Linked DNA regions of Mus musculus: all the other regions are reported to be linked to region 2. Evidence: microRNA targets listed by miRTarBase, many of them from high-throughput screens and not tested one by one. Region 2 holds a microRNA gene; each other region holds the end of a gene's coding sequence.
The links. The annotated mature microRNA mmu-miR-3064-5p reads UCUGGCUGUUGUGGUGUGCAAA and lies in region 2 at 1,905-1,926, shown strand. An mRNA with a match to its seed (bases 2 to 7 or 8) in the 3' UTR can be bound and repressed. Matches are read on the target gene's strand: a 7mer-m8 pairs with bases 2 to 8, a 7mer-A1 pairs with bases 2 to 7 and ends in A, and an 8mer does both.

Region 1 (7,117 bases), not on the chromosome of region 2:
GAGGTGCAAGAACAAATGACAGTGACTTCTACAAGAAATGCAGCTCTGGTCTGTTGGGTTGAAGACAGCCAGACAACTGGGGTTGTTGGCTCGAATGTCCTGGTTTCGTCTCAGGGAAGGCAAAGGAAGGATTTCCACCTCAGATAGACACAGCCAGATTGCACAGTAAGGAAGGATGGAGCCAGTCCACTGTAGAGGGGCTAAGCAGAGGGACTCTGGTTTTGGTGTCTGTCAGTTCTGGATTCTAGTCCTAGCTCTGTCTTTTAGTTGTATAACACAAAGCATTTATACAAACAGGACACAATTTCTTCTCTTACAAAGCTTTTGTGAAGTCAAGAGAAGAGAGATTTCTTTTTTTTTTAATTTTATTTATTTTATGTATATAAGTACACTGTCACTGTCTTCAGACACTCCAGAAGAGGGCATCGGATCCCATTACAGATGTTTGTGAGCCACCATGTGGTTGCTGGGAATTGAACTCGGGACCTCTGGAAGAGCAGTCAGTGCTCTTAACTGCTGAGCCATCTCTCCAGCCTGAGAAGAGAGATTTCTACCAAGACCAGCAGAGCATGTTAGTTCTTTGGCCTCTGTTAGTGTGAGGTCTTCACTCAGAGTACCAGAAACAAAAGGCGAGCTGAGCTCTGTGAGCAGCGGGTGCCCAGCTGGCCACCTGAGCCCATCAGACCTGCGGCCCTCATCAGTGCTCACATCCAGGGCTCCACAGAATCCAGTTTCAAGTACAACAGGCCAAGTCTTTAGGTCACCCCTTTTCTACTCCCTGTCTATCCTCCCAGGAACGCCTGTACCCACAAGCACGTTGCTTTCCACTTACTTCTCTATGTTGGGGATGATGTCCTTGTATTCTTTGATGAACGCAGAGGAGGGTGGTTCATCGTCCTGCTTGGGTTGGACTGTCAAATACAGGATAGAAAATACTCAGCGTGAACTCCCATCCTCCCAGGCTCCATCCCTCTCACTCACTCCCCGAATCTGTGGCAAGTACCTAAGGGTTTAAGGGTCTCAAACTAGGTTAGCTCAGTTTCTCTTTTGCAAGCCTTGTGGGCACCTGCATGTTGCATGCTGCAAACAAGGGGCCTTTCTCAAGACATCCACTGTGCCTGCAACACAAACCGACTTGGCTCTACAGTTATCAGATTCCTCACTGGGATCGGTTCTCCCGTGGACAGGAGTGAGTTTGGCTTCTCTTTAACTCCTCGATTCCCCAGCCTAGTCCATAGTCTAGTCTAGAAGTAGCACTTTAACAAAGCTTGCTGGTTGACCACATGAATGAAGTACAGGGTGAGAGGAAGTGCTGCTAGCTTTAAGGGAATGTCAATAGCCAGTTCGCATCACTAAAAGCTCGGCTTCTGTGTGTGCATTCCTACTATGTCACTGGAAGTGAGGTTGAAGCCTGTAGTCCAACCCAGTCCAGCGCAACCAAGATAATCTATCCTCTCAAGCCAGACTCTGTCCTGCCACTATGCAAAGGACACTAGAAGCAATAAAGACTATGATATCACAGTTTATTGTGCACGGGGTTAAGGGTGCTTTTCATACCGCTGCCATGATTGAATCCTATTAACTGTGTTCCAATGGATCCTTTGACACTCATTTCAGCGCTGGTTCACAAAAAAAGCAAACTTGCCTCAAATAGTATGTGTTTGTTAGAGGGCCCTAAGGCATGCTAACTTAGGATGGGAAACTTCATCCTTCCTCTCAGAATAGCAGATAAAAAGTGTTACATTCCTAGAATTGTAACTCTTGCTAGTGTTGCCAGCCACACACTCATTGGGTCCAGCCAAGCTGGACTGGGTTGGACCTCGGGCTTCGACCTCACTCTCATCTGACACAGTAGGGATGCACACAACGAGGCGGAGCTTTTGGTGATCTGTATTGTCAAATGAGTGAGTGCTTTCACGCGAAAGCTCTTACTTCTACCTTCTCGTGCACCCCTAAACAATGAATGTGGGGGGGTCTTGGCCTGTCCCTTTGCGCGCCACCTCTGTTCCCTTGTCCACCCCAAGCCTTCCAGGCGGCCTCAAGTCTCAACAACCCAAGTCCTCGTACCTGGTTTCTGGACGGCGGCGTATGCTCGCGCGGCGCGCAGTAGACCTACGCAGAATAGAAAGGGCTGAGACTCTGCCATACACAGCCCCTCATGTCCCTTCTCCCACGAACTGTAGGCACCTGCACCTAACTACCGCCTCACTTCCCTATCTCCCTCCTCATCACCCCTTCCCTAGCCATCACCCTCTTTCTCATCCTGTCACTGCCTTTCTCGGGTCTCCGGGTGCCTGGTCTCCTCCATCTTCGCCCAGTCCCTTGGGACCCAGCTCGGCGGCTCACTCGGAGGCTGCAGGCCACAGCGCGCAGAGAGCAGACTGGCGCTACTTCCGCCCCTCAGCGCAGGGACTGGGGCCCGTGTCACCGCCTGGGCACGAACAGAGCTCAGCGCACGCCACGCGGCCCGCAGCATGTTGACTCCCGACTCGACGGGGGGCCCGCACCGCCACTGCCCGCTCCGCGGTGGATCCAGGTTACATGGGCGCAGCCATGACGGTTCGGGCTCGACCAATCGAGGTGAGAGCGCGACAAGAGCTGCCGAGGGCTGAGCGAATGGATCGGTTCCGGATTGTCAGGGAGCTGGGGCGGAGCCCAGGAATTTGGCCTGGTGGGCGGGCCTGTTTCTACGCTTACAGGCCCGGAGCACTGTGTGAACGCTATAATGTCACCTATTGACCTTGCATCCGGCCTAATCACTTTCTAAATTCCTTATGTTCCTGACCTGGTCCTCAGTTCTCAACCTGTTGGTCAAGACACATGGGGGGTGAAGGTTGTTGAGCGACCTATTCATAGGGGTCACACATCAGATATCTTGCATATCAGATATTTATATCACAATTCATAATAGTAGCAAAATTGCAGTTATGAACTAGCAACGGAAATAATTTTATTAGAGGTCTTCACAACATGAAGAACTGTATTAAAGTATCTCTGCATTAGGAAGGTTGAGAACCATTGCCTGGGGCTGGAGAAATGGCTCAGCGGTTAAGAGCACTGACTGCTCTTCCTAAGGTCCTGAGTTCAAATCCCAGCAACCACATGGTGGCTCATAACCACCTGTAATGGGATCTGATGCCCTGTTCTGGAGTGTCTGAAGACAGCTACAGTGTACTTACATATAACAATAAATAAATCTAAAAAAAAAAAAAGACTCACAACCATCTGTTCAGCTACAGTGTACTCATATACATAAAATAAAATAAATCTTTAATTAAAAAAAAAAAAGAGAACCATTGTCTTAGGTCCTAGTTATTTTAGGGCTTCTGTGGGACTCTCCTTACCTTCTCCAGAGGCTAATATTCTTTCTTGGCCCTCCTCCAGACACCGGGGCCCTGTAAGAACCCTCAGGTTCTAGCCTTCTTTCGTTGGCTTGTATCTCAGTGACTAAGGATAGAGTTTTTGGTAGGGTACTGAGCCATTACTATGAGACCCTGTGGGCAAAGTCTACCTTTATGGGCTGCAGTGTTCTCAAAACATCAAATGAGATTGGTAGCAATGTCTTTTACATTGTTCAGCCTATAGACCGAAGCAGCTGTATACAAAACACATGTTTAAATAGTCAGTATTCGGTACTCAGCTGTGGTAAAACTGAAATGAGGGATGCAAGGGCAAATATAAAGGAAAAGTAGTGGGGAGGGTAAAGAGAGGGGCAAGGAAAGAACACACCATCCCAAGCCTGAGATCAGGGCCGGGGAAAGTAGACCCAAGACAGGCAAGGCTTTTGTGGAAAGGTCTCCATTAGCACAGGGAATAATCCTGACAAATGTGGTTACATGAAACTCAAATGACATTAGGCAACTGAAGATGTGGTTTGGTTAGCAGAGTCCCTGCCTAGAATGCACAGTCCTGGGTTGGATTCCCAGTGGTACGTAAAAACTGGGTGTAGTGGCATATGCCTGTGACCCCAGGACTTTGGAATGGAAGGCAAGAGGATTAAAAGTTGTTCGAGGTCATCCTTGGTTGCATAGCTGGTTTGAGCCCAGACTGGGCTACATAAGACCCTGTCTCAAAAAGGGGAGGGGCAGGGGAGATGGTTCAGTTGGTAGAGTGCCCACTGTGTAAGCATAAACATCCAAGTTCAGATCCCAGCAGCTGCGTGTACAGTACAGGGGCTCGGGGAAGTTGAGTAGGTGATCCCTGGAGCTCATTGGCTCCTTGGATAGCTGAATCCAGGAGCTCCAGGTTAGCCAGGTGGTGGTGGCGCACGCCTTTAGTCCCAGTACTCGGGAAGCAGAGGCAGGCAGATTTCTGAGTTCGAGGCCAGCCTGGTCTACAAAGTGAGTTCCAGGATAGCCCTCTTCCAGCCTCCGTGATAACAGACATACAGGTGAGGCACAGATATGCACGCAAGCAAAACACTCAGACATGTAAAATAAAATAAAATCTGACCGATGAAGGAAGGAAGGAAGGAAGGAAGGAAGGAAGGAAGGAAGGGAGGAGATAAATGATTCTGAGAAATACCTTCTTGACTGTTGGGCCCTGAAAGTGAAAGCCACTTCCTGGTGGTGGTGCACACCTTTATTCCCAGCATTTAAGGCAGAGGCAGGTGGATCTTGAGGCCAGCCTGATCTATAGAGTAAGTTCCAGGATAGGTTGGGCTGTTACACAGAGAAACCCTGTCTTGAAAAACAAATAAACTGGACTGAAGAGATGGCTCAGCGGGTAGGAGCACTGACTGCTCTTCCAAAGGTCCTAAATTCAAATCCCAGCAACCACATGGTGGTTCACAACCACCAGTATTGAGATCTGATGCCCTCTTCTGGTGTGTCTGAAGACAGCAACATTGTACTTATTTATAATACATAAAAAGAAAAACAAGCAAGCAGAGACAAAAAACAAACAAGGGTAGAAGACACTTAAGCTATGCTCAAGAGATTCTTTTCTGGGACCAATAAGATGCCTCCATGGGTAACGCGGTGCTTGTCACTAAGCTTTGAGTCCACTTCTCAAGATCCACATGCTGGAGACCAGAGTTAATTCCCACAAGGTAGGTGTCTTCTGACCTCTGCCTCTGAATCCCCACTCCCCACAAAACAAGTACATGTCATAAAAAAAACTTTATTTATTCAGCTTTTGCTTAATTTTTTTTTTCAAGACAGGGTTTCTCTGTATAGCCCTGGCTGTCCTGGAACTCACTTTGTAGACCAGGCTGGCCTCGAACTCAGAAATCTACCTGCCTCTGCCTCCCGAGTGCTGGGATTAAAGGCATGCACCACCACACCCAGCATAATTTTTGAGATTGGATCTCACTATGTAGGCTAGCCCAGGCTGGCCTGGAACTTGCAATCTTCCTGCATCTTCCTCCCAGATGTTGGGATGCTAGGCATGTACCACCACGTCCAGCCAGAATTTCTGAAAATACCAGCCCCAACTCAAAACCTACAATCAGTTCAATGGACTGAAATTATATGAAAGACGAATGGTGACCATTGGGCTGTAAGCAGTATCTATCTGAACCTTAGAGTGTGAGAGTGGGTGACCTCAGGGTATAGCCTGAGAAGCTCAGAGTAGAGGAGAGGTGCTAGGGGCCAGAGACAGAGACACACTGGGCCTTTCTGCTTCTCTCAGGGCCAGTAGATTTCAGCGGAGGGCTCTTCTCCTCTGAATAGGGCAGGGTCTTCAAGATACAAGGACCCCCAAAGTTCTAGAAACCCCCTTGTTCTTCAACTCCATGGACCTGGAGCCCCTGAAAGAGGGGAAAATCAAATGGAGGCCCAAAGACACAGTCATCTTCCTGGTTTGGAGGTTGGGGCACAAAGGTCTCCTGGGGTCTTGAATGGAACCAGATGTTTTCATAAGATTTAGGGCTAGGGGTGGGGCCCCCCAAGAGGGGCTGAGTGGAGTCAGAGCGAATGTACTGCATTACTCCTGGGCTGGTGGGGCTCTCAAGCACCTGACCATAGAGGACCTGGTCACCAGTGCGAGAGGGAGGCTGGGACTGGTTGGAAATTTCTCTTGGATCTCCTTGGAGCACATAGGCCTGAACCAGGGCTGGAAGGCTACCATTCCCAGAGCTTTCGGAATCCCAGTGGGTCGGTTTCTTGTCTTCCTCCAGTTCAGTGATCTTGGTGATTGATGGCACGCTGGAGTCCCAGAAGCTGGGTAACTGGAAGGTTTCCTGAACACAGGGATATACACAATACGGCATGGTTTGTCTCACATGTCTGCTCCACACATCGTTCCTTCCAGAGATGAGGTAGTTATGGCATCTCCCTTGTTGCTATGTGGCAGAGCACAAAGGGACATACTTGCCTGGCAGCTGTCCATTCCTACCATGTCCCTGACACATGACCCCCAGCCCAACCCACCCTCTGCCACCCACGCATCCATTGTGTAGTGAGGTGACCAATCTTGGAGAGTCAAACTCAGGCCTACATCTCTCCAAAGCAGAATGTGTGTGTGTGTCTGGTTGGAAGTGGGGCTCAGGTGTGTGTTCCTTTAATGACGCTGCCTTGTCTGCCAGTCACAGTTTATACACCTCTCTGCCTCATGATTACCTCTGTCATGATGGTGGGCAACCAGGAGCTCAGGCTACTGTGGGCTGGGTCTGGCACATCTGACCAGAAGGAAGTCTTTCCTCTGCAGAAGGAGACAAGTGAAGTTTGGGTCAGCTTGCCATCTGGCAGCTGAAGAGGGGAAGAGATGTTAGGACAGACCTCCCAGATTGGGGCCCGGAAGTCTGGGAAGGCAGGAAGGGACTTCCGCACCCATGGGTAAAAGGAAGCCACTCACCTGCGTTTGCAGCAGAGCCAGGTCACTACACAGGTAGTGGACAAGAGTACTAAGCAAAGTATGCCCAGGAAAATGTTTAAGTCAGATGGATCTGGGGTGAGAGACAGAAAGCAAGAAGAGTTTAGGGTGTGGCTTTTCCACTGTGGGTCATGAACTCAGTGGTGCTGAATGTGGAGAGAGTCAAATGTTGGCAGGTTGAAAGGTTCCTAAAGAATAACATCTAAAGCCGGGCGTGGTGGCGCACGCCTTTAGTCCCAGCACTCAGGAGGCAGAGGCAGGCGGATTTCTGAGTTCGAGGCCAGCCTGGTCTACAGAGTGAGTT
Region 2 (7,095 bases):
AAGTGATACACCTGAAAATCTGTATGTGTGGTGGCTTAGTGGGTTTGACATTTGGATTCACTAAGCAAAAAATCAGGGTTGTGTTTGGTTTTGTTTTTATATCCTTTTAAAAATGGTGAGTTTTTCTTCATCTTTAGGCTTATTCGTCTGATGGAAGAAATCATGAGTGAGAAGGAGAATAAAACTATTGTTTTTGTTGAAACCAAAAGAAGATGTGATGAACTTACCAGAAAAATGAGGAGAGATGGGTATGTGGTTTCCTGAGTCAAAGCAGACTTAAAAGTACTTTGATCTGGGGCTAGTGTTTTTTGGGAATCATGCGCTGTGATATAGGGGTAATTGTATGGATTCGTTCCAGTGACTTGTAGTAGGCTCTGGGTTGCAATGCTTAGTGGGAAAACACTTGGCCAAGATGAAGTACAGTGGGAATAGATATTGGTAGAGTCTTGACAAGAGTTTTAAGTTGGGTATACTACTGATAATTTAATTCTTGGTATAGGTGGCCTGCCATGGGCATCCATGGTGACAAGAGTCAGCAGGAACGTGACTGGGTTCTAAATGGTATGTATTTCAAATAAGATTAGTTTGTAGCTTGATAACATCATTTGCTTGCATTAATGATTATTCATGGTTGTCTTTATAGAATTCAAACATGGAAAAGCTCCTATTCTGATTGCTACCGATGTGGCCTCCAGAGGGCTAGGTTAGTACAAACTCGAATTCATGGCTTGGTTTCCCAGAAGATCTCCATGTAGTTTTTTTTAAAGAAAGTTTATTGCTTTCTTTAACCTGCATTTTTTCTAAGTTTTTTTCACATAAAGGTGCAGTCTTTGTGGCAAGGCCTAGGCATGACAATCGGAGGACTCGAGGGGGATGGAGGACTAGTGATCGGCTGGCTGCTTCCAGTCGATTAGAGAGGTGAAAAGCTGAAAGTGTGCCAGTAATCTTCAAAGGGCAGAACATACCACCTCTGCCCCATAAACTGTTCTCTCCGGGGGAAAAAAATGGAAGTTACCTCACAGTTCACTGCCGTGGTATTTCATCTGTCCCATGCTTTGCATGATTGCCATGGTACAGCATTGTTTCAAACTGTTCACTGTGATCTGTGGGTCTTTGAGTTTCAGTGAGTTTGCTGAAATGTCGAAGAAATATTTCCAAACTTCAATGTTCAATGAAATTTTTGTTCAAGTTTGAAATGGAGAGAGCAGCTTTAAAAGCCTTTTACAAATTGGTGAGTACTGGCACATGAGACCTAGAGCAGGACCAACTTCTCACACATAGTCAGTGGGAAAAGAAAGTGCCTTGAAAGTTCCTCCCTCACCTACACAGTAGTCGTCATGTCGAGACCTGCCAGAGAGAGACACATTCTCAAGTGAATCCTGGCTTCTTGGAAGCGCTTGCCTAGACGAGACACAGTGCATTAAAACAACTTTTGGGGGACAGGTATGTTTTTCTTGCAGCTGCAGTTGTAAGGTCTTGGCAAGACAAGCAGTGTGGCCAGAGTTTTGAACTTCTGATGAGTGTAATGCAAAGGACCTTTACATTTTTGTTAAAAGGTCCTCAAAAATGAGCACATGAAGAGATTGCTGAGAAACTTTTAATTGGCCCTACTGCGCAGAAGCATTCAGATGTCACTTGATGATCTGTAAGGGGACTGTCAATTTGGGAATGTGCTAAGGAGAACACACATTCCCTTGATAGGCTGTCAGTGGGTGGGTGTTAAGACAGCTGACATGTGCAAATTTTTTTGTTGTTTTTTGGGTGTTTTGGTTTTTTTTTTTTCCTACCCTGCCCTTTTTTCCTACCTCAATGGTGTTCCTACAGGAAATGGATAACCATTTTAACTGTATTTTTTTCAGCCCGTACCTTCTTGGGAATACAATTGTCTAACTTTTTATTTTTGGTCTGGCTGTTGTGGTGTGCAAAACTCCGTACATTGCTATTTTGCCACACTGCAACACCTTACAGATGTGGAAGATGTGAAATTTGTCATCAATTATGACTACCCTAACTCCTCAGAGGATTATATTCATCGAATTGGAAGAACTGCTCGCAGTACCAAAACAGGCACAGCATACACTTTCTTTACACCTAATAACATAAAGCAAGTGAGCGACCTTATCTCTGTGCTTCGGGAAGCTAATCAAGCAATTAATCCCAAGTTGCTTCAGTTGGTCGAAGACAGAGGTTCAGGTAAGGATCTTCGTAAGAGATGTTTCTGGTAGGTGGCAGTTACCTCTTGTCTACAAAGTGGGATCGGAAGAATGAGTACTTCTTATTTTGAAACCTAAAGAATCTAAAAGCACTTAAGACCCAACATAAATAGAGCTATCTAACTCTCTCCTATCTTACCACACTTATGCCACAGATAAAAATTGATCAATTTCCACTTACTTTCTTGACAGGTCGTTCCAGGGGTAGAGGAGGCATGAAGGACGATCGTCGTGACAGATACTCTGCAGGCAAAAGGGGTGGATTTAATACCTTTAGAGACAGGGAAAACTATGACAGAGGCTACTCTAATCTGCTTAAGAGAGATTTTGGGGCTAAAACTCAGAATGGTGTTTACAGTGCTGCAAATTACACCAATGGGAGCTTTGGAAGTAATTTTGTATCTGCTGGCATACAGACCAGTTTTAGGACTGGTAATCCAACAGGGACTTACCAGAACGGTTATGATAGCACTCAGCAATATGGAAGTAATGTTGCAAATATGCACAATGGTATGAACCAACAGGCATATGCATATCCTGCTACCGCAGCTGCTGCGCCTATGATTGGCTATCCCATGCCAACAGGGTATTCTCAATAAGACTTTAGAAGTATATGTAAATGTCTGTTTTTCATAATTGCTCTTTATATTGTGTGTTATCAGACAAGATAGTTATTTAAGAAACATGGGAAATGCAGAAATGACTGCAGTGCAGCAGTAATTATGGTGCACTTTTTTCGCTATTTAAGTTGGATATTTCTCTACATTCCTGAAACAATTTTTAGGTTTTTTTTGTACTAGAAAATGCAGGCAGTGTTTTCACAAAAGTAACTGTACAGTGATTTCAAATACAATAAATGAAGGCAATGCATGGCCTTCCAATAAAAGATATTTGAAGACTGAATTAAGTGAAATTGTACTTTATTTTACATATATAATGTCATGTACAACTTGGCTTAGATAGTGTTTTTGGGGGGGATTTTTGTTTTGGTGTTTATTTTTACACAAGGAAAGTTGACTACTTCCCATTCCTGGATTTAGGAGAGGAACTCAGAAGGCCCTTAGGATGATCTGTTTGTATGGGAAGAAGTTAGAGACAATGGATTTTATAATTCCAGATTTATTGGATAAAAGCTTTGTCATTTTTCAGTATCAGGGAAGTAAGTCATTTAATAGCCTATTTTCCTTAAGAGTGAACTACAGGACAGTAACTATATAAATACATGTTGATTTCTTTTGCAAAACAGTTTTAAGTAATGACATTTTTGCTTTATCAAAATTTTATTCCATCTCTTGGTTTTGTTGTCAACTGCCGAAATGTGCGAAGCTGAAAGACTGTTAGCCCAAGAGCTGTGTGCACTGTGTCTTTAGTGCAGGATTACCTTGTAGGTTCCTAGTCCTCGAGGACTTGCCAGAGTGCTTATAGCCACACCTGGAAGTCAGGAATGTCTCCACATTATTTCAGGGGATTTTAGGGGTCTTGTAGGCTAGTCACAAGGAAGACGACATAACCAAAAGCACAGTAAAGTTTTCGGGTTAGGTTCACTATGGGCTTAACAGCTAGAAGGATTGGGGGGAAAGCTTTAGATTTAAGTAGGATCACCAGCAAACAGCTTTGTTTCAGAATGGCTATAAGTAGGTCTAAATGTCTTCCCAAAAAATTGGTGTGTTTTTTGCCCAGGACAAAAGTCTTAAAGGAAGTTATTTAACTTTTTGTTTTTAAAATGGGCTTATTGTTAATGCCTTATTTATAAAATGTTAAAACAAAATAGAATGTGCTGGGGGTGGGAGCTGGGCGTGTTTTCCAGGGCTGATAACATTGAAAACTGGTTCATCCTCTAGTACTGAGTGGTTTTCAATGGCATGGCTAGTCAGATTCATGATTTTTAAGTATAGGTGTAGATTGGAGCATTTATTACATATTTTACTGTTCAATGTCTTAATGTGGACCTTTTATTTTGTAAATAATTATGGAAATGATTGTGGGGCTTGGAAAAAATTACCTTTGAAGTTTTAAAAGACAGTCCACTTTTTAGCATGTGTGTTGTGTCCAGCCTGTGGTTGTCTTAACTAATAAATGTGATTTTTCTCCCCATTCTCTTCATTTATTTATTCGCGTAGAGGCCTCTTACCTGGGTTTTTGCACCCCCGCCTTCCCCATTCCAGCTATCCTGGAATTTGATACATAGGCCAAGCTGGCCTTGAAGTCAGAGATTGTCCCTTATGCATATGTTAACATAGGAGTGAGCTACCACAACAGTCCTGCACCTTATAATCAAACTCCAGTATCAAAAACACCCCTTTGTCCTAGTCAGGTATTAACTGATTTCTACGAGAAGGGAAGTACAGAGGTTAAGAGCACTGCTCTTCCAGCAACCATACGGTGCCTCACAACCACCTGTAGTGATGGCCTCTTCTGGTGTGTCTGAAGACAGCAACTCACAAATCTTTAAAAAAAAAAAAAAAAATTCTTTTTAAGGAGGTGGTTAATAAATTCCCGAAGCCCTTTTTAAGACCTGGTCACCCTGTCTGTCCAGCCACACCCGGGAGAGAGTGGAGTGGCCATTGGTGATAATGTTTGCCAGCATTAGTATAAACTAAAAGTGCACAACACATTCCCTTGGAGACTGAACGCTAAGCCTCACATCAGTACCGTCCAGGACAACATTTTGGAAGGGGTTTTTTTCGTTTTGTTTGGCAGCTCGGAAAACCTGATGCTAACTCTATAGTAACAGGATTGTGGTAAAAGCTAAACAAGTGAATGTGAGGCAGGTGGAGTTACCAAACGGAAAATCCCAAAGGTAGTAAACAATCAGACGCTGGCGTCAGCCGCGGAGGCCGGGATACGCCCAAGGCGGCTGCTGCTCAGCAGCGGGTGACGCTCTTCCGGGGGCGTGGTCTACAGCACGTCCATTTCCGCTGTGCCTGCACCCCAGGCCCTGGTGCTGGTGTAGGTTTGAAACTGCGGCTCTGCACGGGAGGTGCTGGTGTTCCGACTCCTGAAGCGATGCGCTGCGGTGGCGGCGCCAGGGCCTGCCGCAGGGCCTGCAGGTGCTGGCTGTCCGGGTACGCGGGTCCCGCAGATGGGACGCAGCAGCCTGACGCCCCCGAGCATGCGGTGGCCCGCGAGGCGCTGGTAGACCTCTGCCGGAGGAGGCACTTTTTCAGCGGGACGCCGCAGCAGCTCAGCACGGCTGCTCTGCTGAGCGGGTGCCACGCGCGCTTTGGACCTTTGGGTGTAGAGTTACGAAAGAACCTAGCCTCACAGTGGTGGTCCTCTATGGTGGTGTTCAGGGAGCAGGTCTTCGCGGTGGACTCCCTCCACCAGGAGCCGGGCTCTTCGCAGCCGAGGGACAGTGCCTTCAGGTTAGTCTCTCCAGAAAGTATACGCGAAATCTTGCAAGACAGAGAGCCGAGTAAGGAACAGCTAGTGGCATTTCTTGAGAACTTATTAAAAACTTCTGGGAAACTACGGGCGACTCTTCTTCACGGTATGGCTCTTCGCGTTTCGTGCTTCTGAACAGATTTGGGGTGGAAAAGCAGTCTTGCACGAGTTTGGAGACAGCAACGGCCCTAGGCTTCCAGGCAAAGAAGTGACCAGGTTCCTTTTTTTTTTTTTTTTTTTTTTTTTAATAACATCAGAGTGATCCACCTTGAGGCAAAGGTCCGAGGCATCATTCCTGAAGAAATTTGTAAAGCATTCAGTTTGACGAGCAAACCTAAAACTATAGAGGTAGGACCTTATATAAATCAGTCACATGCTTTCATTGATACCAAGGCATTTTCAAAGACTTCCTCTGTTCCAGTTTTAAATACAATTATCAACTCAGGTTTTTCTTTTTTTTTTTTTTTTTTTTTTTTTTTTTGAGACAGAGTTTCCCTGTGTAGCCCTGGCTGTCCTGGAACTCACTCTATAGACCAGGCTGGCCTCGAACTCGGAAATCTGCCTGCCTCTGCCTCCCAAGTGCTAGGATTAAAGGCGTGCGCCACCACTGCCTGGCAACTCAGGTTTTTCTTGGTGTTTTTTGTTTGTTTGTTTGTTTTTGGTTTGTTGCTTTGTTTTGTTTTTTTTTTTTTTGTGGGGTTTTTTGCCAGGTAATTTTTTAGCTTGTCAGCTAGAAGATGAGATACACATCTTTAAAGTCAAATATAACAAATTCGGAAATGCTGCCTCTGCCGTTTAGCAGTATGGAGTAGCTAACAACACCTTACAAATCCAAGCTTGTGAAAATTAGTATATACTGTAACCTTAAATTTTTAAAGCAAAATAAAGCAAGCCGGTGATAAATGCAATTAGATTGTAGTATATTTTATCCTGTATTCTTGGTATTGATTGATTAAACAGTCTCACCATGTCCCCCAAACATCAGCTGTTTTTTACCTCTCAGTCTTTTAGATCAAAGTTGCAGACTGAAAATGAGATTTTGAGTTCAGTGTGGATAACATGGAAGTCAGTTCTCTCCTCCTATCGTGTGGGTCCTGGGGATAGAACTCAAGACTTCAGGCTTAGCAGCAGCTGCTTCTACCAGCTGAGATGTCTTTCCAGGTTTAAGGATTTTTTTTTTGGTTTTTCGAGACAGGGTTTCTCTTTGTAGCCCTGACTGTCCTGGAACTCACTTTGTAGGCCAGGCTGGCCTCTGCCCCACACTTGGTTTTTTTCTTTCTCTCTCTGAAGATACTGGACTGTTCTTTTGTTTCTTCTTTTGAGAACCTGATTTCTTTATCTCAAGTTTACCTTGAAATCAGTCTGTAGCCCAGGCTTGCTTCAAAGTGTCAGAGTCCTCTTGCCTCCACCCCTGAGTACCAGGATACCAAGTGCTGGGCTCAGAGTTCACTGCTGGTTTCCCTAAGTGAAATAGATTTATATGATCGGTTTGTTTCTT
Region 3 (7,115 bases), not on the chromosome of region 2:
TCTGATAAGGAGCCTCCAGGTTCCTACTTCCAAAGCAGACTAAAATGTAGAGACTGTGGGTAAAATTAGACCTCAGAGAGACCTTTTAGTATTGGTTGGCCCGTTAGTGTGGTAATTCCACTGAGACTGGTTGTTGGGAACACGAGGTTTGTCTGGCATCGGCAGATTAATAACATTCTCGGTATTAGGCAGATCTGCAGCTTTTGCTGAACTTGCTTTCCCAGTGGGATGTTGTTCGTTGTCAGGCCATGATTGACCCAGCCACATCACTGATGCTCCAACCAACATGGCTTTTCTAGGTTCTCACGCGGTTTTTGGCCTCTTCCACTCCTATCATGTACTGGTTTCCAGCTCACCTGCTTCAGGATCAAGAACCGCTGCTGAGGTGTGTGGACACAGAGCCTGGGAAGCTTCCTCAGGAGAAGTCCCCACCAGGACAGAAGGCCCCCAGAAACTGTCTCATGAAACTCTTCTACGATTGGAAGAGATGCTCTCCAGTCACAAGATGCGTTCTGGTCTACTTCCTGACCTACTGGCTTCTGGGACTAATTCTCCATTGCAACTTCCTGCCTTGGACTTGACCTGGAGTGTCAAGGAATGAAAGCTCTAAGACGACACCCTGGCTGGGACAGCCCGCACACTCCGGAGAGCACTGTGCAGTAGGATCTCTGGGTCTCTCTGGGGGCCAGCTAAGAAGGGAAAATGGGAGCACAGGCGCCCCTTCTCATCCTGGGCGGGGCAGGTGTAGGGGAGTAACTTCAGTGCTCAGTGCAGGGGTCTCAGATCTCCCTAGTCCACAAGTACTAGGCAATCTTAAACCTACTACTGATCCACGTGTAAGTCTGTCTTCTTGTTTTTTGAGAGAAGGTTGGTTTCTCTACATTGCCCTGGTTGTCCTGGAACTCACTCTGTAGACCAAGTTTATGTAGACCAGGCTGGCCTTGAACTCAGAGATTCATCTGCCTCTGCCTCTTGAGTACTAGGCCCACCACTGAGTGTGAGCCACCCCTGCCTGGCCTGGTGGATAAATTTAAATGTTTGATCAAAGCACAGGCCAACAGCCTGCCCCACTCAGGATGGTGGAGTCAGTGCAGTGTAGTGACAGAAGGAAGAGGGGACAGACAGCCTGCTCTAAGTGAGAGGTTTCTGAAGGTGGTTGTTTTCTTTTTTTTTTTTTTTAAAGATGTATTATATTATATATGAGTACACTAGCTGTCTTCAGACACACCAGAAGAGGGCATCAGATCCCATTGCAGATGGTTGTGAGCCACCATGTGGCTGCTGGGAATTGAACTCAGGACCTCTGGAAGAGCAGCCAGTGCTCTTAACCACTGAGCCATCTCTCCAGCTCCCTGAAGTTTTCTTTATGATACTGGTGTGTGTGTGTCTGTGTCTATCCTACAGACTGTGAAAATCTAAATACTCCTTTTGCAATGAATTACCTTTTTCTGGAGGAGGGGTAGTCAGGGGAGCTAAGACAAGGTCCCTCTGTGTAACTCTGACTGTCCTAGAACTTGCTTGCTATGTAGATCTGGCTGGTTTTGAACTCAGAGATCCTCCTACCTCTGCCGAACTAGTTTCTATAAATTATAGAGGGTTGAGGCTAGAACTCCGTAGTAAAGCACACGAGGCCCTAATTTCAGTAATAAACACCACTTGGATCAGAGCACAGGGTCTGAATCTTGGCTCCCATTCCTCACTTTCCAGCTGTATGATCTAAAGCCACCTTCAGAGCTTTTGCCTTCTCTGAAATTAAGGAGGAGACTTCTTCCCTGGGGTGTGATTTAGGCCTTAAATCTTGAGGCTACCTTAAACAAAAGATAAATGGAGGCTCACAAGTGGTCTAATGGGAAAGTCCTCCTTTGATCAATTGGAAACAGCCTCCCCCCCACCTCTGGGAACAACTCGGAATAGAAGCTGTCGTGGAGAGTAATGACACCTGGTGGAAAAGGGTAACCCAGGGTGACTGGTTTTCCATTCTCAAAGATCACACTTGCATGAGTCAGAGGCACCTACCCCACAGCCTTGATGGGGGAACCTTGTAGCTAAGTCAGTCCAAGGTTGTCTACTGTAGCATCTGCCCTGCTTCCTGGCTCCCTGTGGTTACTAAGAGTAACCCTGCCCCTGAGGAAGGATGACTCCAGGATGCTGAGGCTTGAGGTGAGCTTGAGGGCAGCTACAGAATAAGACCCTGTATAAATGAAAGACAGTGTCCCTGCTGCGCAGCGTTTGTGCATTCTTGAGCCAGGTAACTTTGGCTCGGTGTCACCATCCTTACTCCCCATTGGGCCAAAAATTCCAATAAGCAGCATTCTTCAAAACAGATGGCAGTCAGCAGTGGCTTCTGGAAAGCTCGGAGTTGGAATTTGGACACACTCCCTCCGACCGTGACAGAAAGCTCAACTTGCCAGCTGAAGGGAAGCTCCTGGCCCAGGCCCAGCACCCTCTGTGGGAGCCTCCAGCCAGCCTGGCCAACGAGCATTCCCACCCAGCACCACAGCACTAGCACAGCCAAGCATTTGGTCCAGAGTCAAATGCTACTGAAAATGTACACACAGATTGGGGCAGCCCTCTGCCTTCTGCCAAGACACCAAGTGCCCTTCTTGGCAAAAGACAACACCTCTCCCCTAGTGTGTCCCTCCAGCTGGCAGACTGCAGCCTCTTCCCCAGCAGCTGCAAATCCTAGGACTCCCCCTCCCCCTCCAAAAAAAAAAAAGTGCGTGGGAGGAGCCGGGATCCTTTGGTCTCCCTCTCTGCTCCACTTTGCCTCCGTTTGGAGGGTAACCAGAAGTGATTGTTCCTCTCCTGGGAGAGGTGACTCACCCCCTACAGAGCAGCTTCAGTCTCCCCTGTTTTGTCCCTAGAGCCATCACTGAAGAAACCCTACACCTGGGCACCCCGGCTAGGTAAGCACACCTGGAGAAGGCCGGGCTTCTGGCCTGGGAGGCTCACGGCTCAGCTTGTAAGGAGCGGGCTGACTTTATGACCAGCAGCTGTCCCTTTACCGGCCTATTAACAGTCTTTAATAGTCTGAAGGAGGACCGTGAAGGGCCCAAGGCCGGAGCTTCCTGTTTCCCCGAGGTCTAAGAATGCCACAGCTGGGTGGGGCGGCCACGGTTTCAGAGAAAAGTCATTTCCTTCCAAGACCCTGCTAAAATACAAACCAGACACTCTGAGGACCCAGAAGTGGATGTCTTTTTGTTCTTTAATGGAGGTGGGAAAAGGGGAAGCTTTGGCGGGTCTCTAGTAGTCCCACTGGGGTGGGGCAGCGGAAGTCTGGGTCTAAAAATGTAAAGTGTGGAGGCTTAAGTTTTTAAAAGGATTCTTTTCACCAGTTGTTTATTAATGCCTGTTTTGGACTAAGGCAGGCCTAGCCACGCCTCCTGTCCTCAAGTGTTGCTGGCCAGTGCACCGGAGCATTCATTAGGGAAGTGGTAAATTCTTTAAAAAGCAACATTTTAGTGTGTGTGTGTGTGTGTGTGTGAGTGTGTGTGAACATGAACATCCTATAGCCCACGTGGAAGTCAGCATTGCCCTCTTGTTGAGTCTTAGTTCTTTATTATGCTGTCCTTAAAACTGGGCATGTCAGGCCTGAGGACAAGTCCCTTCCCCCACTGAGCCCTCTGAGTGCTGGCCCAGAAGTAGCAAATTCTGAGGCATAAAGGACATGTTTTGCTATCTTTCTACTTAAATTTTTTTTATAACGAGGATGAATTAAAGTTTTAATTTGAAGATGGTGTGGTGCACACGTGCAGTCCCTGCCCTTGTGAGATGGAGCAGGAAGATTGTGAAATCTAAGCCTACTGTGGTGCACACCTTCAATCCTAGGACTCGGGAGGCAGAGGTAGGGGGGATCTCTGTGAATTGGAGGCTATCCTGGTCTACAGAGTGATTTCCAGGACATCCAGGGCTACGTAGTGAGGCCATGTCTCAAAACAAAACAAAACAAAAAGAACTGGAAAGATGTCTCGGTGGTTAAGAGCCCCAAGTCCTGTTTTTGTAGGGGACCCAAGTACAAGACCCTATCACTGTAGCTCCAGCAGAGACAACACCAGGAAACCTTGACAACCTGCACTCCTGAGCACATTGCACATAGGAACACAAACACTCTTAAACTCCATGGCCTAGAGAAATAGCTCAGTGGTTAAAAGTGTTAGCATTCTGTCTAGGCTCCACCCCACAGTGACCTGGCAACAGCCAGGTGTGCCTGACTCACTATAAAAGGGGCTGCTCACCGCCTGGCCCCCCACTGTCTCTTGCTCCTGCCTTCTTGCTCCCTCTGTTCTCTAGCCCCTCCCCCCACATCCCTCCCCCCACCCCTCCCCCTCTCTCCCTGCCTTTCTCTGTCTCTCCTACCCTCTCTCTTTTTTTCCCCCTCAAAGATCTTATTTATTTTATGTATGTGAATACACTGTCGCTGTCTTCAGACACACCAGAAGAGGACGTAGGATCCTATTACAAATGGTTGTGAGCCACCATGTGGTTGCTGGGAATTGAACTCAGGACCTCTGGAAGAGCAGTCAGTGTTCTTAACCGCTGAGCCATCTCTCCAGCCCCCTCTACTACCCCCTTAACTCCCCTCCCCAGGCTCTGAATAAACTATTCTCTACTATACTGTGTGGCTGTTCCCTCAGGGGGAAGGGATGCCTCAGCATGGGCCAGCTGAGGTACCCCCTTCCCCCATACCTTAACCACACTTCCACCAATTCCCTCTTTATCTTTTTATAAACAACAAAAAGTGTTTACTGCTCTTCCAGTGGTCTATGTGGTTCCAAGCACCCTTGTTGGGCAGCTTAAGACCTCTGGTAACTCCAACCCCAGGGACTCTGACATTCTTTTTAGCTTCCTTGGGCTCCTGAACACACATGGCATACACTCACTCAGATACATATATACATAAGAATAAACACATCTTCAAAGAGTTGAAAGCAGCGAGTGAGTATATTATCTCCCCCCATGCCCTAGTTAGCATTGGCAGCACTGGGGGCAAACCTGTCAGGCCAGCTAGGTAGGCGCTGTGCTGTACTGGTGAGCTACATCCCCAGCCAGAGAGTGACTACAGCAGATGGGAAGAGAATCAGGGAAGAGCGCTCAGCTTGAAGGGAGCCAAGGAATTACTCTAAGATCTGGCTCCAGAGCCAACCCACTGTACACTAAAGCTGTGTGAGCTCACTGAACTCAGCCTGACTTCTCTCATCTGTCCCCGTGCCTACGGAGTTCTTATCCATAAACTCAGCCATCCCTTATGGGAAGGTAAATGTTACTTCTGGATATTTTGAGACATCTCATAATAGTTCTTATTGACCTTGAACTCTACATCCCCCAGACTGGCCCAGAACTGTCCATCCTCCAGGTTGAGATCATACATGCATGTACACCACCGTACACATCAGAGATCGTTGAATGGGGTAGGTTTTTAGTCTCAGAACTTGGAAGATAGAGGCAGGCATATTTCTGTTAAGTCTATGCCAGCCCGGTCTATCTAGCAAGTACCTGGATAGCCAGGCTTACATAGTGAGACTGTCTCAAAAAAAAAAAAAAAAAAAAAAAAAAGAAAGAAAGAAAGAAAGAAAAGAAACACTTGAAAAAAAAGAAATTGATCAGTACTGAGTGTTGTGTTTTATAAAAAAAAGATAAAGAAAGGAGGAACATGTTTTGCAGAGGTGTAGTCAGGTAAGAGGGGAGGGGGTGCCTCAGCTGGCCCATGCTGAGTCATCCCTGCCCCCTGAGGGACCAGCCACACATAGTATAGAATAGAGATTATTCAGGGCATGGCAAGGGAAGCTGAGAGGGTGGTAGAGACAGAGAAAGAGAGACTGAGAGAGAAGAGTAGAGGCCAGCCCCATGAGCACGAGGAGGAAGGGAGGAGGGAAGGGGGCGAGCCGACAGAGTAGGAGCAAGAAGGCAAGAGCTAGAGAGAGCAGAGCAGCCCCTGTTACAGTGAGTCAGGCACCTGCTGTTGCCAGGTAACTGTGGGGTGGAGCTTAGACTGAATGAGTATATTAGACCTTTTCCATTACTTCCTAAATAACACAGTACAACTGTTTATATACCACTTACACATTATGGATTATAGACGTGTTTCAAAGGTGCAAGAGGGTTTCTTACATAGGTTATTTACAAAACCTATGTCATTTGTATTTTTGTACCTGGGGTTCCCTTCCTAGACCCTGGGGACAGTTCTTTGGGTCACTGAGGAATGACTGCACTGAACATAGATAGGAATAACATAGTCTTACAGAATAATTGTAAAAATTAAATTTTGACACATGACAAATTTAGGAAAACGCTAACAAAAGAATAGCTGGGTTTTGGAGTGTATTGTGCCGTCGGCACTTCACGTGCTGGGACAGTGGACTCTCAGAGGCTAGGATGAGTGGAGAGGCATCCGCACAGTGTTTACTGCAGTGGTGTTGGGATGGGAGAGATGAGAAAGAAGGCACTGTGGGGCTTTGGGCAAATGGCTGGCCCTCTCTAGACCTGCCTTCTCATCTGCATGTGGAGCTCACTCAGGCGTAGCTGCTCCTCAAGGCCCCTCAGGGAAGGGAGGAGCACTCACAAGCCTTCTTGGGAGGGGCAGTGCAGGGTCCTTCCCTCCCTGGGGATATGTAAGCCATTAATGCTTACTGGAGGCATCGGGGACCTGCCCACACTCCTGTTGGCTGACTAATTAAACTGATGGGTTCACCAAGCTCAGGTCTTTGGTTTGCTGCAGGTGCTATGTCTTCCTTAGGTAGGCAGACAGACGTGTGTGCTCATACCTCCCTGGGGAAAGCTAACGTAACAGGCTGTAAGGACGTGGCAGCTTGGGCCCCACAGAGTCATCATGAGAGCAAAAGAGTGCAGTGGAGAGCACACAGTGACAACATCATTGCCATTAAATGACAAATAACATTCCCGGAAGGGGGAGAAGAAAGGAAGAAGAGCTGCAGAGATAACTCATTCTATAAATATGCTTGCCCGCAGGGCTGGAGAGATGGCTCAGTGGTTAAGAGCACTGACTGCTCTTCCAGAGGTCCTGAGTTTAAATCCCAGCAACCACATGGTGGCTCACAACCATCTGTAATGGGGTCTGATGCCCTCTTCTGGTGCATCTGAAGGCAGCTACAGTGTAC
Region 4 (7,117 bases), not on the chromosome of region 2:
ACTGTGGGCCCTCCACCCTACACGCGGACTGCCAACCTATACCTGGTATTTCCAACTCTCCATCTCCAGTCCATGAAACTTCTGAGCTTCCTGTGACTGCCCCAGTTCCCTGTGACCACTCTTCTGGTATCCACTCAAACCCTTGTCCCTTTTGCTGTCCCAACTCCCTCTTTGACGAATCCTTGTGTGGATACGTCAGTGAATTGGAAAACTCCCGGCGTTCACACAGGGGGTGTGTCGGGGTTTGAAGTTAAAGGACCCTGCCCTTTCAGAGCTCGAAAGGTAGCTGAGACACAAGTGGAACGCTGGAACCCCTGCTCGGCATTGTGAGGCTCAAAATGAGGGAGTAAAACATGAAGATTTCCCTTACAAAATTTGGGGGGGGGGGAGGGTTTGGCCCCTCGGGGGATGAGCCAAGAGGCAAGGGAATCTTGTCGGCACGGGGATTCTGACCAGCCGGTAGCTAGCTGGGAGGTCGACACTGGGAGCCGACGCCAGACCAGGCGTAGATCGAGGGGCGGCTAGGAGACTGGCCCCGCCCCGTGGACCCCGCGCGGGTCCCCAGACAGGGGGTGGCGCTGCGGGCGCGGGCGGGCGCCGCGCGCACTGCGGTCCCCGCGCCTCCGCCGCAGAGCGCGCCACGCTCCGCACGCACCTGCCGCCGCCGCCGTCGCCGCTGTCGCCGCCACCACGCCGAGCCTTGCGTCCAGCACCAGCGCTCGCGCCCTGGGTGCTGTCTGCGCCCGCCATCGCCCGAGGTCTCCACTGGAGCCGCGGGAGCTATCGGAGTCACTAGAGCAAGGTGTGAGCGCCGCATCCGGGCCTGCCTTTGAGACAACCTCTGCTGCGGCGGCGGCGCAGCCGGGGAACGCCAGGCTGGGGCAGGTGAGCGGGGGTGGGAGGGGGAGGGGCGGGGGCCAGAGACATCACCCCTTTCCATTTTCATAGTCAGTCCTCCGGACAGTGAGTCCGGTCTCGGAGAGTATACTGGGGAGGGGGTTGCGTTCAGAGTTCCGTGGAGATCCCACGGATGAGGTCAGGGTCAGAGGTCGGGCACTCTGTCCTTTGTGAAGGATGGGGGCGAGGGCAAGGGCGAGAGTGAGGTGGGCCCCGTGCTGCCCTCACGCTGTCTCTCACCCGCAGCTCAGGCCTGGTGCAGGCCTCTCCATTGCTGTTGCCGCGGAGCCTTCAGCCCAGGTCCTCTGGCAGCCAGGGATCAGGCTAGCTGCCTTCCCTGGGCGCCCTGTCCTGGAGCCATGGGGCCCACCTAGCCCCTGCCTGCCCAGATGTCCCGGCCCAGGGACTGCTGACCTCTGCTACAGGAGGAGGCCCCTCCACGCCCCCTTGCCAGCTTCAGCAGACAGAGACCCTGGGTGAGCTCCAGAGCCCCAAACAGCCACCCATACCCCCTTGTCCCCGCCTGCTTCCCCCTCCCCCTCCTCTTCCTCCTCCTCTTCGGACTGAATCAGATAAGCCATTGTGGCCACTGGGAGGGGGGTTGCCCTCCAAGCTGTCACCGGCTGCCCCTTGCAGTCCACAGAGTAACCGTGGTCCTCACCAGGCCTGGCAGGACCAGGATGCAGCCCCTTCTCTTCCCCCACGGCCCCACCCAACACCCCCACCTGTGCCAACGTCCAGTCTGACTGTAGAGAGCCGGATGCCAGCTGACCCTGGGCCTGAGGTGGGCAGTGGATGGCCGGGCCTCCTCATGTCCTGCCTGAAAGGCCCCCATGTCATCCTCAAAATGGAGGCCATGAAGATTGTCCACCCTGAAAAGTTCCCTGAGCTCCCGGCGGCCACCCCCTGCTTCCCTCCTGCACCCAGGCCCACTCCCACTCTGGCACCCAAGCGTGCTTGGCCCTCAGACACAGAGATCATTGTCAACCAGGCATGTGGGGGGGACATGCCTACCTTGGAAGGAGCATCCCACACTCCACCCTTGCCAAGGCGGCCCCGCAAAGGCAGTTCTGAGTTGGGCTTCCCCCGGGTGGCACCAGTGGATGAGGTCATTGTAAATCAGTATGTGATTCGACCTGGCCCAACAGCCTCTGCACCTTCATCGTCTGGGCCAGTGATAGCAGGTGAGCCCCTGGAATGCCCCACCTGTGGGCATACATACAACGTCACTCAACGGCGGCCCCGTGTGCTGTCTTGCCTGCACTCCGTGTGTGAGCAGTGCCTGCAGATTCTTTATGAGTCTTGCCCTAAGTACAAGTTCATCTCCTGTCCCACCTGCCACCGTGAGACTGTGCTCTTCACTGACTATGGCCTGGCTGCACTGGCTGTCAACACATCCATCCTGAGCCGCTTGCCACCTGAAGCCCTGACTGCCCCATCCGGTGGACAGTGGGGGGGTGAATCTGAAGGCAGCTGCTACCAGACCTTCCGGCAGTACTGTGGAGCTGCATGCACCTGCCATGTGCGGAACCCACTATCTGCCTGTTCCATCATGTAGTGTCCACCTGCCCACTACTGCCTGCAGGTCCTTGCTCGCCGCTTCTTCAGGGAACTGGCTTTGTCCTGTTGCCCGCTGACCCTTTCTTGCCCACTGTGGCTTCTGGCCCTACCCTGCGTGGCATTGTCGCTGCAGCCAACTTTGCCATTAAAACTCTTTGCCAAAGTTTGCACTTGTTCACTGATTGAAGCTAACTCCTGTGGGCTATGCCCATGCCTGGACCTAGGGTAGGTTCCCAAGGCTATAGTCCAACATGGTCTAACCAGGAGCTGCCAGAGGGTGAACCAGCTCCATTCAAGGTTGGCTTGCTCTGCTTGTGGAAGGGCAAGCTGGCCCGAGTGTACTGCTTAGGAGGTCTGGACTAGCTGGGAACACACTGGTACATGGAGATGGGGCCCAGCTAGGGAGACAGAACTTTTAGCTGTGTGTGGTGAAGTTCATTGGTAGTCCCAGCACACTGGAAGCTAAAGCAGGAGGGTTGTGAAGTCGGCATGGGTTGCACAAAGAGATCCTGTCCAAAAAACCCACGTACTTTTCTTCTGGCCAAGGATGTATGGAAACAGCCTCTGGACAGCATATGTAGAGGCTTACAGTTGGCTACGACCAAGGACCCAGCAGTCTTTTAAATGATCTGCCTATGACTGGAACAGGTACCATTGAAGGGTTGTGAGGAGAGTGCCTGGATGGCAGAGATGGAGTAATAATGAGGATGGCAGAGGTAATGATAGAATCAGTAACAACTGTTTATTGAGAACTTTTTTTTTTTTTTGGGAGACAGGGTGTCTCTGTGTAGCCCTGGCTGTCCTCCTGGAACTCGCTCTGTAGACCAGGCTGGCCTGGAACTCAGAAATCCACCTGCCTCTGCCTCCCAAGTGCTGCGATCAAAGGTGTGCGCCACCACTGCCTGGTCTGAGAGCCTTTCTTATGCTTGTTATATAGGACTCAGCCTGAAATGTTACACCTTACATTGTGTCACCAATGAGCCATGAAGTGAGCTTAGATTTGTCTGCATCTCCCAAGTGAGGGCTCCTGGTCCAGTGACATGAATTGCAGAGTCAACTAGGAACAGAGCTAGACCTTGGGCATTTGGAGGCTTCAGGGTCTGGATGGGCCCTTGCAAAACAAAGGCAATATTGATCCCAGCTCCTCTGGGCTACCTTCTCTGGTGAGAGTAGCTTAGGTTGGGTGGGAGCTTTTGAAGGCTGGCTTGTGCAGTGCAGGCCTCTCCTGGTAGTTACTGTGGCTGCTGCTGTTGCCTTCAGGACACACACCAGCTTCTGTCTGGTGCAGGTGAGAGTCTGCAGCCCTTGCCTTCTCCAATGAACAGATCTCAGGATAAACAGAATCACTGTTGGAATCACACATTTGTGTCCACTCTCACCAGCTGGACTACGAGCTGGCGGTATAGCCCAGCTTCTGCCTGTGGCCAGTGAGATGACCGCCCATGGCAAGCACATAGGGTTCTTTTCACAACTCTTTCTGCCAGGCCAAGCTCCTTCAGAGGCTGTCCTTGTGTCCTTGGCTTTAGCTAATATCTAGGCTGCAAGGGTGTGTAAGCACTCTGGCTGGCGTAGGCTCTTAGGCATGTATAGTCTTGGTATTGGTGATAACAAGTCTTTGCTGATTACCAGAATCCAAGCGTGCATGGACTTCAAAGCTTGGCCAGCATTCTGGGCTCTGCTTAGTGGGTGGAACGGTCTAGCAGCATGAAGAGCACCCCTAGTAAAAGGAGCGGCATGAAGATGACCACCAGCCCGAGCAGTTCAAGGACCAGTAGGCTCAGCAGTGACAAGCGGCGGGCACAGGGGCCACGTTCCCGTAGTGCCCACAACCAGGTGCCTAGGCTGGGAGGGCAGGGCAGGAAGGGGAGACAGCTTCGCCCTCCCACAGGCCCTGCCAGGAAGCGCAGCTGGTAGCGGTGCTCTAAGGGACCCCAGGGCCAAGGGCCAGGATGCAGGGCTGTGACGGATGCAGTCCGCATTGGGCGCTGGGGTCCATCAGCTCGAAGCAGTTCCTCCTGCAGCTGACAGATCTCCCACTCTAGCATAGGTGTCTTCTGACGACACAGTGGACAGCACACACGGCCCAGGTCAGCTCTGGGGGTCATGCCTAACAGCTGGTGTAGGCAGCCCACACACAGGCTGTGACCACAGTTTAGCAGGGTCAGGTGGTGCTCACTAGGCCCATAAGGCTCAGCACAGATGGGACATTCCTCCTCCTCCACAACCTGCCCCTCACCTTCCTGCTCTTCCACAGTTGACTCCAGGGCCCTGGCAGCGGATGGGTCTCTGGCCTCCAGTTCCGGTTTACTGTCTGGAGTTCTGGCACCCAGAGGGGCCCTGAGATCATCCTCTCCATCTGCTGGTAGCTGGCACAGTGGGTCCAAGAGCTCAGGACCCAGAGAAGCACCGGGTGAACTAGTAGACACAGAGCTGGTGTCATTAGGTCCCAGGTTACCACTAGAACAGAGGTCAGGATGCGTAGACGGAGACTCCAGGATGACTGCAGGGATTGTTGTAGATATGAAGGTGTGGCCCTCAGGAGCCAGGCAGAGCTTGGCCTCCACCCATCCACCTGAGCACTAACCTCTAGATAACCCTTTCGGCTTGCTGACCTCACTGGAAGTAAGCTTCACTTGGGTCCCCGCAGCATGTCAACTCTTGGTATCTGAGGCCTAAGAGTGGTGTTGGTCTGGTCCCTGTTTTCCACAAGCTGACAGACAGAACCGAGGTTCCTTAGCGCCCAGCTGCCCTTGGACCTGTCTGACTGCTCCAACAGGGTTTCCTTCCCAGCAGTGGAGGCCCTGCCCATGGGCGGGCCAACACAAATCACACCCCCTCCACCTGATCATTCTTTCAGTTCTTTGGAAAGAATAGTGCATGCTGGCTCTTGGCTGGGACTTCCAAATAAATAGCTCTCTAAGCCCTCTCTGCTTGGCCATGAGAGAAGGGTATATGAGCTTGGCTGAGTTGTGTGGCCATCAGAGAAGGGGACTAGCTTGGCTAAACTGTCAGTACAAGCCTGTGCTCATGCCCTGGAGGGCTCTTTGCCCACCACTAGCAGATGCAGATAATCCATGTCCCAACCACCACTCTCAAATCTAGAAGCAATAAAAGAGAAGTGAGCGGCTACCCAGGCAGTTAACTCATGTTTATGGACCTGCAGACAGACAGATTTGCCCATTCCCAATGCTCAGGAGACTTGGTCCCTGGTGGCTTTTCAACTGAGCTGAGCTGCACAGGTGTTATGGGACTAATGGGAATAGCACGGGGTCAGACGGGCAGTGCAGCCCGCACAGCTCTATGTCCTTTGGAGGGCTTAGCAGGCCCTTGGTGGTAGGGACTATAAATGCAGATTTGGGGCAGAATGAAGGGGTCTGAGAGAAAACCAGGAGTTCTAGCTGCACCGGGGCTGGGCCTACGTATGGGACACTGGGTTCCACTGAGTTTGGCTGTACGCAAGGACTGCCCTCCTGGTCAGCTGGACCAAAAAAGCGAAACTGTGGGTCTACCCAGTGTTCTGGGATTAGAAGGCAAGAGGTAACAATGGGCCTTCTAGACTCCAGCAGGCTACCCAATGCAGCTGTTAATGTGAGTGTGAGCTAGCAAGTGGCTCCTCAGGCCCAGGTTTCAGTCTGGAAGCGCAGTGTCTGCTGGAGCCTAGCAAGGTAGGCAGATGCATCTGCAGTGGAGAGTCGTCCTTCTTCTTGAAAAATGGACATAAGGGCTTCCGAAACATCCGTAGGCAAATATTTAGCATTGCTGGAAAGGCAGGCCTCAGAAAGCTCAGTGATCCCGATTCCCAACCCTTACTACTACCCTTCCCTAAAGGCTGGTCCACCCCCCGACATTCCCAAGTTTGCTCACCCTGCTAGGTAGAAGTAGGCACCTTGGCCATCCAGCAGCTCCCAGACAAGTGGCCCCAGCTCTCGAAGCCGGTGCTGCACATATACCTTCTGCTCCTGCAGGTGTCAGAGGCTAAGTTTCAGCCATCCCAACTCCTGTCCTATCTAACTTGAATATACTCACCTGCTCCCGGGAGAAGGCTGTAACCAGGGTCAGCCAGCCCTTCTGCTCTAGCTTCTGCCATTCAGTCTGCCAGTAGAAGTCCTGATCCCGCTGGCGGCAGCCAAAGAACAAGAAGTTTCCTGGGGTACATAGGGCGGTCCCCGTCTGGATGCAGAAATTCAGCTAGACCAGGCTCAGTGGTCAGGTCACACTGCTTTGGAGCTCCAGTACTCACCAGTTTGGCCATGAGCCACTCGTTCCTGAATGGCTGCTCGGAAGGGGGCCACACCAGTTCCAGCCCCCACCATGATAATGGGTGTGTCTGGTGTTTTTGGGAACACGAGGCTCCCAGGACGTACCCACAGAGGCACCCGGACAGGTCCTGCTGCAGAAGGGAAATGGCATGTAGGAGGTCAAAAGACAGTGCTAAGGTGCTAAGTGCTTGAGCTCCTGGGGTAGCAGGAACAGGGGAAGATGGGCACTTGAGGCTATACTCTCTCCCAACCCCGAGCCCCAGAACTATGGATTTACCTTGCCCAGGATTCAGGGATGCTAGCCAGGAGGAGCAGAGACCATGGCGGGGCTCCTTCAGACGAGTCTGGTACTTTACCACAGCCACAAGGATCTGTAGCCTCCTGGGATGAGCCTATGGACA

Region 1: miRTarBase lists Csf3r as a target of mmu-miR-3064-5p. Seed matches in the 3' UTR shown: 7mer-m8 at 5,180-5,186.
Region 3: miRTarBase lists Pigv as a target of mmu-miR-3064-5p. Seed matches in the 3' UTR shown: 7mer-m8 at 1,313-1,319.
Region 4: the mRNA of Ndor1 is a reported target of mmu-miR-3064-5p. Seed matches in the 3' UTR shown: 8mer at 4,016-4,023 and 7mer-m8 at 3,251-3,257.

Annotation. Positions count from the first base shown.
Region 1 is chr4:126,042,429-126,049,545 of GRCm38, reverse strand. It overlaps Csf3r (colony stimulating factor 3 receptor (granulocyte)), which reads right to left. Exons shown (of 17, transcript NM_007782.3): 15 at 6,796-6,886; 16 at 6,561-6,642; 17 at 4,571-6,181. The coding sequence ends at 5,708. Mrps15 (mitochondrial ribosomal protein S15) reads right to left here and starts at 2,618. Exons shown (of 8, transcript NM_025544.2): 1 at 2,347-2,618; 2 at 2,068-2,112; 3 at 833-911. The coding sequence starts at 2,476.
Region 2 is chr11:106,777,567-106,784,661 of GRCm38, reverse strand. It overlaps Mir3064 (microRNA 3064), which reads left to right and starts at 1,903; the gene lies at 1,903-1,969. Polg2 (polymerase (DNA directed), gamma 2, accessory subunit) reads left to right here and starts at 5,125. Exons shown (of 8, transcript NM_015810.2): 1 at 5,125-5,703. The coding sequence starts at 5,220. It overlaps Ddx5 (DEAD box helicase 5), which reads left to right. Exons shown (of 13, transcript NM_007840.3): 9 at 138-248; 10 at 500-561; 11 at 644-703; 12 at 1,969-2,193; 13 at 2,406-4,306. The coding sequence ends at 2,812.
Region 3 is chr4:133,655,976-133,663,090 of GRCm38, reverse strand. It overlaps Pigv (phosphatidylinositol glycan anchor biosynthesis, class V), which reads left to right. Exons shown (of 4, transcript NM_178698.5): 4 at 300-1,666. The coding sequence ends at 581. Among named protein-coding and RNA genes, the nearest start is that of Pigv, 13 kb to the left of the region's middle.
Region 4 is chr2:25,241,639-25,248,755 of GRCm38, forward strand. Ndor1 (NADPH dependent diflavin oxidoreductase 1) reads right to left here. Exons shown (of 14, transcript NM_001082476.2): 10 at 6,994-7,108; 11 at 6,698-6,847; 12 at 6,484-6,602; 13 at 6,322-6,416; 14 at 3,175-6,216. The coding sequence ends at 6,072. Rnf208 (ring finger protein 208) reads left to right here and starts at 1,291. Exons shown (of 1, transcript NM_176834.2): 1 at 1,291-2,623. The coding sequence starts at 1,658. The coding sequence ends at 2,455.